3 linked regions of the Arabidopsis thaliana genome follow. The protein of the gene in region 1 interacts with the protein of each later gene in a pairwise test. Each region holds a gene or a part of one and is shown in the gene's direction. Other genes may lie near its edges.

The links.
Region 2: the proteins of UTR3 (region 1) and AT1G47670 interact in a protein complementation assay, tested with the Arabidopsis thaliana proteins (one large-scale study listed by BioGRID).
Region 3: the proteins of UTR3 (region 1) and AT3G27770 interact in a protein complementation assay, tested with the Arabidopsis thaliana proteins (one large-scale study listed by BioGRID).

Annotation. Positions count from the first base shown.
Region 1 is NC_003070.9:4,910,568-4,914,726, reverse strand, and holds UTR3 (UDP-galactose transporter 3), read left to right. Parts: upstream 1-1,559; 5' UTR 1,560-1,697; coding exon 1,698-1,801; intron 1,802-1,990; coding exon 1,991-2,088; intron 2,089-2,183; coding exon 2,184-2,314; intron 2,315-2,428; coding exon 2,429-2,459; intron 2,460-2,544; coding exon 2,545-2,648; intron 2,649-2,740; coding exon 2,741-2,862; intron 2,863-2,959; coding exon 2,960-3,365; 3' UTR 3,366-3,634; downstream 3,635-4,159. Other genes in the region: FLP (Duplicated homeodomain-like superfamily protein), read right to left, coding at 4,080-4,159. UniProt on the Arabidopsis thaliana protein: Essential sugar transporter required for the transport of UDP-glucose from the cytoplasm into the Golgi and the endoplasmic reticulum. Essential for pollen development and involved in embryo sac progress.
Region 2 is NC_003070.9:17,536,074-17,541,584, reverse strand, and holds AT1G47670 (Transmembrane amino acid transporter family protein), read left to right. Parts: upstream 1-1,865; 5' UTR 1,866-2,098; coding exon 2,099-2,475; intron 2,476-3,170; coding exon 3,171-3,304; intron 3,305-3,434; coding exon 3,435-3,862; intron 3,863-3,944; coding exon 3,945-4,076; intron 4,077-4,262; coding exon 4,263-4,751; 3' UTR 4,752-4,960; downstream 4,961-5,511. Other genes in the region: AT1G47680 (uncharacterized protein), read right to left, coding at 496-810. UniProt on the Arabidopsis thaliana protein: Amino acid transporter.
Region 3 is NC_003074.8:10,285,106-10,289,522, reverse strand, and holds AT3G27770 (plant/protein), read left to right. Parts: upstream 1-1,591; 5' UTR 1,592-1,855; intron 1,856-1,941; 5' UTR 1,942-2,048; coding exon 2,049-2,371; intron 2,372-2,463; coding exon 2,464-2,497; intron 2,498-2,584; coding exon 2,585-2,794; intron 2,795-2,908; coding exon 2,909-2,998; intron 2,999-3,126; coding exon 3,127-3,192; intron 3,193-3,282; coding exon 3,283-3,374; intron 3,375-3,456; coding exon 3,457-3,504; intron 3,505-3,620; coding exon 3,621-3,705; 3' UTR 3,706-3,866; downstream 3,867-4,417. Other genes in the region: MYB118 (myb domain protein 118), read left to right, coding at 163-756; EMB3123 (PPR containing protein), read right to left, coding at 4,035-4,417.

The DNA of each region.
Region 1 (4,159 bases):
AATTATTAGCGAGATTCCCCTTCAATCAAGATGTTAAGTGTTTACAACTTTTCTTTGGATGTTATATTTATGTTTAAGAAACTTTTACATACACTTCCAAATTATGAGAGATATCAAAACCTTAGAATAAAATTTGGTATTATGGACGATTTTATCTTTCTGAGACGTATTGGATTTACTATTAGATTATTGTGCATATGGCATGCATGCATTAGATATATATAGTCTTTCTTCGATAAATAAAAGTTTAGTCAATGGATGAATCAATCTTTATGTGTAGATCTTTTGTTGATCAACAGGTGATCAAGATTTAAAGGACCCGAAATTAGTTACGAAGTATTGTGGATTTTTCGCATTCTAGTTGACCAAATGAATAATTAAAGTATGAGATTCAACTCTTAAATAATATTTTTGTAAAATTAAGTTTTGAGTTAAGAGACAACGTTAAACCGTCATAATTTATGTGTGTTATATATATAATCGTCAAACCATGGTAAATAACTAAACGCATAGTAGACAAAAAATTTGTAATCATAGATGTAGACGACGGTAATCATCATTTAGATTTGAATTTTTAATGGAACGTGGTGGCTAACGTCGAATACATTTTTGGTGTATTTCTTAAATATAATATCCCATGCATTGACCCAAGAAACTACTTATTAATCAGTTAATCTATATTCACATTGTTATTGACCGGCAGATCGAAAGAGAGTTCTTTTTTCTTTTGCATATTGCATATCACGTGTGGACAAAAGCCCCATTTGGAATCTTTTATGATATTATATTGTTATGTTACACATTAATTTGTTATCTCACCAAGACTTCTATTTTCATTTTGTATCCGGTAAGAGTCACTCTTTTGAGTTTTGACTTTTGACTCTTCAAAATGTATAATTGGTTCTCCCATGAGGATTAAGTATGTCATATAAATTCCGTTTCCCAATATATATAACTTCTATTTTCATTGAGATATAGTATAATATTATTCGTATAGAAAATTACTCAAATCATAATGAACTATGCATGAGTGCATGCATGTGATACCTTGTTTTAATATAATGGAAATTCGATATTTCAAACTTTTCTCGCTATGTTGACGTTATTGTCACATTTACTTTAAGATATATCATATTTTGTTTTAGTAATCTTAACAATGGGTCATCACTAAATTTTAATCAATTAAATCATGTTGGCAACTTTCCTCCATTTGTGTATATACGCCTTTTTCTTTCATTTTCTTACCACAAGTGATCTTAGATTTGTATGAATTCATCAGTTAGTCAAACTGACATGATTAGCTGTGTGCAAGTTTGCTTAATCAAATTAAGGCCCAAGCTGTAAAAAGAACATCCGTTTACAAGTTCTAGGAAACTGCGTGACGTTTTCATGACAATAAAACGGCACATAGTTCCCATTCCTATCTCAGACATGAATGTGCATATGACTTGGATTCCAGAAATAAATCCACGTCCTATAGCCAATCAGAAGTGTCATGTCAGATTATTAAGCCAATGACACAGTTACACGTGGAAAATCTACGTCTTTCTCGCGCCTCCTACACTCTCTCTAATAACTTTCGTTTCCACTTCAGACCGATCTCATAATTTGATCGCAAAACTGATCAAATAGCGTAAAATTGAAATTCAAATTTTCGCCGGAGCTCCGTCGGATAAAACAATAAGCGACGTGCGGCGATGGAATCTCACGGTTCCGGTCTCCGGCGAGTTCTGTTATTGTCGTTCTGTGTCGCTGGGATCTGGGCAGCTTACATATACCAAGGCATTCTTCAAGAGACCTTGTAAGTAAAACTCGTTAGGGTCGAAATCGATCAATCTTATTTTAGCTCGTTGATTATTTTCTCTCGACATTGCTCGATTCTGTTTGTTCGAGATTGTTTCTATTCTCGGAATCCTGGTTGGTGATGCGTTTGCAATTATTGGAAATTTATAGAAATGTAGCTGATAGAACTCTAACATTTTCGAATTAGGTCGACGAAGAAATTTGGTGAAGATGGGAAGAGATTCGAGCATCTTGCATTTCTGAATTTGGCTCAGAATGTAATCTGCTTGGTTTGGTCTTATATAAGTGAGTAGGGCATCTTCATTGTTTATTCCTTAGAATTATAAGTTTATAACAGACGAATAAATGGAACTGAAGTATTTTTGATTGATTATGAGCAGTGATTAAGCTCTGGTCCAACGGAGGTTCTGGTGGAGCCCCATGGTGGACGTATTGGAGTGCTGGCATTACTAATACCATTGGTCCTGCTATGGGCATTGAAGCTTTAAAGTATATTAGTTACCCAGCTCAGGTAAATTAGGCATTGTTAGTGTAATAAAAACCTCATTTTTCTTGATTATGGTTGATAGTTGAGGTAATAACCTTTCTTGGGAAGTAATATTGATGCAAAACTTGCTTCTTGCAGGTCCTTGCAAAATCTTCCAAAATGATTCCAGGTGAGGTGTCAATTTAGAGCATCAATCCATAATCGCTCTCAACTGCTGCTATGTGTATCTTATATATGTTTTTTCTTTCATGTAGTTATGCTGATGGGCTCCTTAGTTTATGGCATAAGATACACTTTGCCTGAGTATCTTTGCACCTTTCTTGTTGCCGGAGGAGTATCTATGTTTGCCCTTCTTAAGGTAGGCAAATCTGCATTCAGGAACTTTGATCATAATCTTTGTTATACTTTGTCTGTGGAAATGTAGTAAACCGTCTTTGACTTGGTTTACAGACAAGCTCTAAAACCATCAGCAAGCTAGCACATCCCAATGCACCCCTTGGTTACGGGCTTTGCTTCTTAAACCTTGCCTTTGATGGATTCACAAACGCAACCCAGGATTCCATTACCGCAAGGTATGACTCTTGACATTCTGTCAGATACTTAACCCAGTCTGACATCTACAACATGGTCTAGATGTTGGACATTAATCATCGCCATACATGGATACAGGTACCCCAAAACTAACGCATGGGACATAATGCTGGGAATGAATTTATGGGGAACCATATACAACATGGTCTACATGTTTGGATTGCCACATGGGAGCGGATTTGAAGCTGTGCAGTTCTGCAAGCAACACCCTGAGGCAGCATGGGACATTCTTATGTACTGTTTATGCGGTGCAGTAGGCCAAAACTTCATCTTCTTGACAATAAGCAGATTCGGGTCTCTAGCTAACACGACCATAACCACAACCAGGAAGTTTGTAAGCATCGTGGTATCTTCAGTTTTGAGCGGGAATCCGTTATCTTCCAAACAATGGGGATGTGTGTCGATGGTGTTCGGTGGATTGTCTTACCAAATTTACCTGAAATGGAGGAAGCTGCAGAGAATGCAGAAGAAGAAAAAGGCCTGAAGCTGAGATTGGGGATCAAAATATTTAATTCTTCAAGAAAATTGTTTTTGATTTGGAAACTTTTTACTTCCAAATATGTCTGAAAGTTAGAGAGAAGAAAGCTTAGTCCATTAGCAAAATGTAAACTAATGCATTAGAAGAAACTTATATATATCAAACCAAAAGACAAATCATATATTTCCACTCATATATATTTGTCTTAACAATACAACAAACTCTTCCTTCTGAGTTTTTCATTTTTCCTAAAGTTACACTCTGGAAAACTTCTTTATATATATGTGATAGAGATTCTGTACAGAGATGATGAAAACAAATCAAGAAATCTGGGGAAAATGCTCAGATGATGTATCTGAGTAAAGCCCTTAGAGACAAACCAAAGAATTTTTTCTTAAAGACACACTGGTGCCTTCTTTTGTAGATGGCTTCCTTATGTTAAGTAAGAAAAGAAAGAGAAATCTGAATCTGAGTATATGGCAGATTCTTGAGAACATTCTTTGATGGGGCTAGAAAATGTTACCGTTAACATTCTAGGACCAGGAAAGAAACTTAAAAACCTTGAGGGAGGAATGCAGATCATGGCATGCCCGCTTCACAAAAACTTCCAGGCCGATATGGCTGCAAAACCTAATATGAAATCTAAGCAAAAGTGGAAAAAATTACGTCTCCATGGAGACTAAACCGCGGTTTAGGGTATGAGAGAGATGGTTGGTTGGTTTACAAGCTATGGAGAAGGACTCTTTTGCAAGGGGGTGGTTTTGAAGGATTAGCACTTGGACATGGAGATGAGGACTCGA
Region 2 (5,511 bases), about 13 Mb from region 1:
TAAATATTACTTGTACTTCAATGACTAGTACAAAACACCCAAATACCATGACCTTGCTTGTTTTGATATTCTCTAATAAAACCCAACTTGGTTTAAACATCTCTAAAATCTGACTTAGTTCCAAGATTGACCAATCATCTACCTTCTTGAGATGCAGCCTCGTGATTATACTTCTTGACTCTTCATCTAGTTTCTTTAGATGTAGTCCCATGATCTTTCAATGACGTACGACTTCTCTCCACATATCATTTAGAATCTTCATTAGATACCTGGAGACTCCTCCTCTATGCAACATCGATTGAACTCCCTTGAAGTAAAGTCTCCTCCTTTATCGGTACAAAAGGTTTTAATAGACAAGCCGACTTGCTTCTCTAAAACTCTTGAAAAGCTTTTGAACCGATCAAAACTTGAATGAATATGTCAACAAGGAACCATCTTGTTCTTGTTGACTGATTCAAACTCCTCTTCACATCTTTCCTCCATTAAAGCACATCTTTAGCCTCTTGGCTCATTACTTGTTGAAAGTTGACGTCTCTTACTTTTAACATAAGCTTGGTGGAACAATCCATAAGTTGTTTCGGACTGCATAACATAGTCTTCAAGGTACCGCGACTGACTTATTTGTCGACCCGACCTTCTCAGTTGTGGTACTCCTTGAACTACTTCACCAACCTCATTATGGTATTTTTTAGTGATATCCTCCATGCCATCATCTTCTTCATGTACTTCTCCAACATCTTCTCTGTGAATCAACTCCAATATGATATAACCGAGCATGTCATGTCCTTGTAGCTTCAGTAGAAAGTCCATCGACAAGTGATGTTGGATAATTCCTAACTTGAAGAGCAAGATATCTCCTTTTAGTAGATGGTAGAAGAGATACAAGAAAATAAAATACAAATAACGTCAAGTTGGACATAATTTGTAACTCTTCCTTTTCAAATCATGACTAAACTCTAAATTTAGATGTAATTTAGCTTAGTGGTAGGTCAGAGCAAATGGATTTGGTTTATACGTTTGCAATTATGTAATTCCATGGATGTAGTTTGAAAGACCAAACTTCATTACAATTATGTGTATCAATTTATTTTGCTTACTCGTATCTATTTTATCACTAGAATACAAAGATTTTGCTAACTCCAAATCTATTATTTTCAGACAAGCATATCCTGTAAATCTTCAATCATCCAAAAAGTGATGTTGAGTTTAGATCCAACTCCAAAATGTATTTATCTTATTTTTAAGTAAAAAACTGAAGAAATGAGTTTGCGAATCTTTTAAATAGTTATTTTGTATAATGCATATTAGAGAAAGAACAAAGATAAATTTTTGTATCAAATATTTAAACTGAGTTAATGGTGGTTTATGAAGGGTGTTATAGTGCATTCACTCCCTTATATAATCGATATCTCTAATCCCTTGGTAAAATTAAATTGTTGTATTGAATTTTTTTATGAAAGAGTAAGGTGAGTTGCAAATTTTGCTTGGCCTCAAAAATTCTTCTCTCTATTTTTTCATTTACATGTTTGAAGTGTTACTTTTTACTTTGCTAAGATATTTCAGTGTTACTTTTTAATCTACATATTTCATTGTTATTTTTTAATTTACATATATCAATGTTATTTTTCCACTCAGATAAGGTGAAATATTTCAGCTAACTTAAAGTGATTATGATCATCAACACCTATTTCATGTCAATTTTTTGCTAAAAAATAAACAAATTGGTCATAATGTTCAAAAACTTGACCTCACCATCATAATACTTAGTACTTACTGGTCAAACAAACATATGTTCAGAACTTTTGTATTGATGGGGAAGGTTACTTTTGTCGTAATGTTACAAAAAAAAAATTGTTACTGTTGAGACCATTATAAATAATCATGTCATGTTCTTTAATTATCAACTTTGATTGTCATTTAATTGTAAATTTCGTTAGTTAATCTGTCCTCTTCTTGTAATTAAATAAAAATTTGTTTCAATACCAATAAAGTTGTCCTAAAAAAAACCACCCCTCTAAATAGGGAGTGAGTGAGAGAGAGAGTGATAGTGAGAACAAAAAAAAAACATCATTTCTTCTCGCACTCTTCACCTGCTCCAATGGACGAAAGACCCGAGACAGAGCTAATATCAATACCAGCCACACCACGAGTTTCAACACCGGAGATTCTAACTCCCTCCGGTCAAAGATCACCTCGTCCGGCCACCAAACCATCGTCGGCGACATGGACTCCGACTTCGTTCATATCACCGAGGTTCTTGAGTCCGATTGGTACACCAATGAAACGAGTTCTTGTGAACATGAAAGGGTATCTTGAAGAAGTTGGTCATCTCACTAAGCTAAACCCACAAGATGCTTGGCTTCCAATCACTGAATCTCGTAATGGAAACGCTCATTACGCTGCTTTTCACAATCTCAACGCTGGTGTTGGTTTTCAAGCCCTTGTTCTTCCCGTCGCGTTTGCGTTTCTTGGCTGGTGCGTTTGCGTTTTTCTTGATTTTTCCAATAATCTTTTTTCTTGTTTTTGAGTTTTTTCTTGAACTTTGTGTTTAGTGTTTCAAGATTATTTTTGTTTAGTGAACGGCGAGGGTTTATTCGACTCTCTGTGGTGCTCAGATCCAGTTTCAGGGTTCACTTTACTTGTTTGGGCAAAAATCAAAAATGTTTTTCTTGTCGGAAATAATAATAGGATATTGACTAATTTACTTTTTAACTTTGAAAACATTTCAATTTTAGCAGTAGATATTTTCTTTTTAATTTGTCATGCTTCCATCATTACACATGTGGATACTCACAGACATACTTTTTTGCTTTAATTTGGATTAAGACAGAGCCTTCTTTATCGTCTACTTTGTTTCTTGTTAATTTCCGGCAAAAAACACTTTTCTGAAAAGTATTTATTGTGTATATATAAGTAGGGCATGTAGTTGACGTCATAATAGATGACTATTTCTTCTTATAAACTTATATTTAGATAAATATTTTTTATTGCAAGTTCTAATATTTGAAACTATACATAACTTGTTAAGGTGGAGCATTTGGCTAGTTCAATACTTAAATAGCTTAGTGATGAATAATGATATTGCAATGATCATGTATTTGAGATTCTTATGTAAGAAAATGCACATATATTATTTCCAAACTTCAAGAAGTGAATTATTGTTGTTACAGGAGTTGGGGAATACTGTCTTTAACAATAGCATATTGCTGGCAACTCTACACACTGTGGATTCTGGTTCAGTTGCACGAAGCTGTCCCCGGGAAACGCTACAATCGATATGTCGAGCTTGCACAAGCTGCTTTTGGTAAAATGATAAATTTAGTTTTACATTAAGAATGATGAAATAATGCATCAATAGTGACAATTATTATTGATACTAATTTTGTGTCTTGCTAAGTTGCTATTACTAAATCTTGTACTCTTGATTGGAACAGGAGAAAGGTTAGGAGTATGGCTTGCATTGTTTCCTACGGTTTACTTATCAGCAGGAACCGCGACAGCGCTGATTCTGATCGGTGGAGAGACAATGAAACTCTTCTTCCAGATAGTTTGCGGTCCATTATGCACCTCGAATCCGTTAACAACAGTTGAATGGTATTTGGTGTTTACATCTCTCTGCATCGTTCTGTCTCAGCTACCAAACCTCAATTCTATTGCGGGACTCTCCTTAATAGGAGCAGTGACTGCAATAACTTACTCCACAATGGTTTGGGTTCTCTCTGTGAGCCAACCAAGACCAGCCACTATCTCATACGAGCCTCTTTCTATGCCTTCGACTTCTGGTTCACTCTTCGCTGTTTTGAATGCTCTTGGCATTATAGCTTTTGCCTTCAGAGGTCACAACTTGGTTTTGGAAATTCAGGTAAAATATGCAAAATATTTCTGTCTATAGATAATGCACATATTGGACTTATGATTTATTCTGAGTATTGAAAACTTTGTAGTCGACGATGCCATCAACGTTTAAGCATCCTGCTCACGTACCAATGTGGAGAGGAGCCAAAATCTCTTACTTCCTCATTGCTCTGTGTATCTTTCCAATCTCCATCGGAGGCTTTTGGGCTTATGGGAACCTTGTAAGTTCCATTTACTATATCTTTTGTTTATGTCTTGTCAGTGAAGGATGTTTATCTGGTGTTTGGTTCATGTTAGTGAAATATAGAATTCAAAAGGAACACTAATATCATTTATTTATAGTTCGTTTTCTGATCTTTGGTTCAATTTCCGGATTAGTTTGAAGTTATTTTTTCTTGGTCTTATAGATGCCTTCAGGAGGTATGCTTGCTGCTTTGTATGCATTCCACATTCACGATATCCCGAGAGGCTTATTAGCGACGGCATTTCTCCTAGTAGTCTTCAGCTGCTTGAGCAGTTTTCAGATATACTCCATGCCTGCCTTTGACAGCTTTGAAGCTGGCTACACAAGCAGAACCAACAAGCCGTGTTCGATTTGGGTCAGATCAGGTTTCCGAGTCTTTTTTGGTTTTGTCTCGTTTTTCATCGGTGTTGCTCTCCCTTTTCTGTCTAGTCTTGCGGGGTTGCTCGGTGGACTCACTCTCCCGGTCACATTTGCTTATCCTTGCTTCATGTGGGTCTTGATTAAGAAACCGGCGAAATACAGTTTCAATTGGTATTTCCATTGGGGATTAGGTTGGTTGGGAGTTGCATTCAGCTTGGCATTCTCCATAGGTGGGATCTGGAGTATGGTTACCAATGGACTTAAGCTCAAGTTCTTCAAGCCGCCTAACTAAGTAGTAATAGCCTATGTGGTTTTGTTTGGTTGGGAAGTTTGAAGTTTTAAGAGATTTTGTATTTCTGTGTTTTGTTTAAGAGTGCCTATGTTTTGAAGTTGGAACAATGTAATGTGTATTATAATTCAGTAAGCTTTTCAATATAAAGAATTTGGAATTTTGAAGAATCACACTTGTGTGCCTCTGTTGAATCCCTAGCTGGAATTTTCCCAACGTGGTTTTCTCTTTTCCATCTTTTTTTCAAATTATTTTGATACTACTAAAAATAACGATACATGAGTATTAAACTAAATTAAGCTAGATCAAGAATTCGGATTCAAAGTAATCGTTTTAGTGTATGAAAGATGATATTCTCGGATGATCTTTTGTTCTGCACAACTTTTTGGATCCTGCGGGAAGAGGGAAAGTATATAGAATTACATGATATCATATGTTGATATCAAGCGACTTGACATAAGAATTGGTGAAGCTCATGTTTGATGAAAATTGATGTACAAGTATACCCCTGTCGACGGACGACTGCACTACGATTTGTATAAGAGCAGATACGGGGCATGTTTTTAGAGTGTCTTTTTGTACATGAGAATTTAGATGTGTGCATGGTTTCATGTCTATTACGCATTTAATACCCTCAATGTACATCGAGTCGATTTCTCTGTCATGTTCTAGGTGAAGTGTCGGACCGCCAATGAGATTGTGGGATACGGGCTTTGCCCTCCATGCCCAATTCGGCCCAAACACAAATAGAACAAGTCAAGAA
Region 3 (4,417 bases), on another chromosome or scaffold:
TCACAATTGGTAAGACATTTAAACTAAAGTCATTGTCACTTGGATTCTCTCATATAATTCAACAAACATAAAAGAGAAAAAAACATATAAAAAATAAAAATATTTGTTTAATATTGTATGTATTATTTACATATAAAGCATATTTTATGTGGTATGTTACAGAAAGATGGATGGACTGAAGAAGAGGATATAATACTGATAAAAGCCCATAAGGAGATTGGGAACAGATGGGCTGAGATAGCTCGAAAACTCCCGGGACGCACTGAAAATACGATCAAGAACCATTGGAACGCGACTAAACGTCGACAACACTCGAGGAGGACTAAAGGAAAAGATGAAATTTCCCTTTCACTTGGTAGCAACACTCTTCAGAACTACATTAGGTCTGTTACCTACAATGATGATCCTTTCATGACCGCAAATGCAAACGCAAACATTGGTCCAAGAAACATGAGAGGTAAAGGTAAGAATGTAATGGTTGCGGTCTCGGAGTATGATGAGGGTGAATGTAAGTATATTGTGGATGGTGTGAATAACTTGGGTTTAGAAGATGGAAGGATCAAGATGCCGTCATTGGCGGCTATGTCGGCCTCCGGATCAGCGTCTACTTCTGGTTCTGCGTCTGGTTCTGGAAGTGGTGTGACCATGGAGATTGATGAGCCGATGACTGATAGCTGGATGGTGATGCATGGATGTGATGAAGTTATGATGAACGAGATTGCTTTGCTGGAGATGATTGCTCATGGTCGTCTTTAGACCGTGCAATATAAACAAGTCGAACTTGATTATATCTACCTATATAATTATGCTATTTATGAAATTATGTTTGTGCTTTTAATTGAAGAATTGGACATGTAATATATATTGTGGTTTAATTGAAGGTTTCTTTTGGACTAAACAAAAATTGAAGGTTTTCTTGCTTTATCAGATTTTTTTTTTGTTATTCTCTAATTTCATTTTAATTAAGAATCTATATATATTGTTAAATTTTCTGTTATACTATATGAATGGTAATTGCGTTTGCGGTTAGGAGAAGACGACCATTAGGTCCACAACAAGTACATTTAGTCACTAAAGAATAATTTTATATCGACTATGCTAAAGAAAAAAAGTACTAGTTGTTTACAAAATATCTGGTTAGTATGATGTAATATGGGATAATATGTGTATGGTCCGTTGTATTGTAATTTTCTGGAATTTGTTACCTTACCGTCATAATGACTATATGGTCCGTCGTATTGTAATACCAGAAATTTTAGGCAAAACACAAACAAAAAAAAACGTAATGAGAGTTTTGTATACATTATATTTTGGTTTTCCATTTGTTTTGTATATCACCATTCGAAAAGTCATACATAACTAAAAGAAAAATACATAAAACTTTTGGGATCTATATTCATTAATGATATTTTGACTAACTACATAGAAAATTGAGATCTTAACCAAATACAATAAACCATTACTTCTTATTCTTTTTGTGCAATTCCTCCAACAAAAAAAGAAAAAAAACTTAACAATTTTAGTCTTAACTACAAATAGTTAAAAATAATAATGGGCTTGTAGATATCTTTCCATTTATATGAGATTTGTGATTTAGGCCTATTTAAGTAAAATACACACGAAACCAAATCGACGTCGTTTGGCAACTAAGCGTTGGACAAACGGAGAAGGTCCCACCTGTCCTTGTCTCCACTCTGTGTTCTCCGATTCCAGTGGGCCTCTGACACCGCCATTGGATTGTTCTTCAGATTTATACATATCTCATATCTCATCACCTTCCAAGTTTCAATTTGACTTCTCCATCACACACAACAACAAGAACAAGGACAAGCTTCTACATTTCTCTTAACATAACGTAAGTATCAAGAATCAAAGCTACTTAATCTTAACACTAATATCTCTATATGTAAATCAATTAAGCTACTTTTAACTCCTCTGCAGAGACAGTTTTTGATCTGGGTTTTCAAGTCCGGTGTTGATCCCATTGAGTTTCGGATCTAAAAGATCCGAATATTCAGACGGATCAACAAGAGAACAAGAAAAAAAAAATGAATCTTGAGAATGTTTTGGAATTCACCAGCTTTGATTACTGGTTTAATTGGAGAGTGTTACTATGTGCTATATGGGTAATAGTTCCAATGATTGTTTCTTTATTAGTCTTATGGAAGTATGAAGATAGTTCAGTTCAAACTCAACCATCACTTAATGGTAATGATGTTTTGTGCATTGATGATGTTTGGAGACCTTGTTTTGAACGAATCCATCCGGGTTGGTTGTTGGGTTTTCGGGTTCTCGGGTTTTGTTTCCTTCTTGCTAACAATATTGCCCGGTTTGCTAATCGTGGATGGCGTATTTACTACTATTATACTCAGTAAGTTCTCTTTAAAGATCTCTGCTTTATTGTGTGGAAAGGGAATATCTTTGATGTTTTGAGACTGATATGATTGAGGTTTTGATTGGTAGGTGGACATTCACTTTGATAGCAATCTACTTCGGGGTATGTTTTGATTTTTGATGTTGTGAATATGTATATGGTTATAGTCAAGTTTGTTTGAATGTTTGTTGTCACTTGTGTGTTGTGTAGATGGGATCATTGCTTTCAATTTATGGATGTTTACAATACAAGAAGCAAGGGAACACTGGACTTATCGCTGATCAAGTAGGAATCGATGCAGAGAACGGGTTTCGTTCGCCTCTTATAGATGGTGACAACATGGTTTCGTTCGAGAAGAGAAAAACTTCTGGTTCGGAAGCACTAAAGTCATATGTTCATCTCTTCCAGATTATATATCAGGTAGACAGATTCCTTTGGTTATTATGATGTATAGTTTGCAACTTTCAGATTTCTTGTTTCATTAGTGTATATATGATCACTGATACTTGTGTGTTTTGGTTTGTTGAAAAACAGATGGGTGCTGGAGCAGCTGTGCTTACAGACAGTATATATTGGACCGTGATTTTCCCGTTTCTGTCTTTACAGGACTATGAGATGAGTTTCGTAAGTTTTCGCGCCATTTACCGTATATTAGTTAAAGCTTGTACACTGCTGATGGCACTTTCTACGTTGCACTTGACCCTCTTGAACTTAGTCTCAACTTCTCTAGTGTCAAAATTCTGTGTTTTCAGATGACTGTGAATTTGCACACAAGCAACCTCGTTTTGCTGCTTATTGACACGTTTCTAAACCGTCTGGTAAAACAATTCTTTCCTCTGCATTTACGACGAGTTTTCGTTTTCATTAATGTGTTGAACCTGAGGTCTTTTTGTGATGTTGCTTTGCAGAAATTTCCATTGTTCAGGTTCTCTTACTTCATCTTATGGACAGGATGTTTCGTTCTTTTCCAGTGGATTCTCCACATGTTTATCTCCGTTGGGTAAAACTCTTCTCTGTCATCTTTTGTATGTTACACTTACCGTCTTGATTAATCTTACACTTGTATTCCTCGATTGACTTAGGTGGCCATATCCATTTCTCAACCTGTCATTAGACATGGCTCCAGTGTGGTAAGCCTTGAAAACATTTACATACTAGACACTAGTCAGGATTGGTTTATATCATAATGTTTCATTCCTTAGAATGATTACGCCTATCCTTAATATTTTAATTCATGCATCTGCAGGTATTTGTTGGTGGCACTCCTGCATCTTCCTTCTTATGGCCTCTTTGCATTAATCGTCAAAATCAAATACAAACTCATTTCTTGAAGTCATTTCGAATCCAAGAGTTTCTGCCCCGTAAGAGTCAGTGCTCAAGGGTTACAACAATCAAAGAAACAATTTTTTACCCCATATGTCTAAAATCTTCAAAACAGATCATTGTAAACGCCACAACATTTCAATGCATAAACTATTTACTTCCGATCCAATTCGCATATCGCAATGAACCATTTCGTAAATTTTTCGCTACCCGAATTGATTTCAGCTCGAACCAAATCGAAAGAACTAACCATAGCAACAGAATATAGTGCAATCTTTGCCAAAAGTGTATGAACTTAATCAAAAACCGAACCAAACCAAACCGAAAACCCGAAAATTCAAGGTTTTAGAATTGAAGATTTGAGTGAGACTTGAGAAGCCAAGTCTGGCTCTCCTAGTCTCAAGAGACCCTTACTCAAAACCTCAGCGACATACTCATCAGCCTCCCATGACTCAGACCCCCAACCACTTTCCCTCATCAAGGTATAAACCCTAACCACCGACTCTCTCCTCTCAGCTCCAACCACAGCCCTAATCAACTTAGCTAAAGCCTTATCATCACTTCTTTGATCAATTCCATCAATTTCACCAATAAGACGATCTATCTCATCGAACTCTTTATTCCTCGTAAGAGCATTAACAATGTCTGCGTATAGAACAAGGTCAAGAGGAGGATACTCTGTACGGAGAGTGGAGAGTACATGGACAGCGAGTGTGCAAT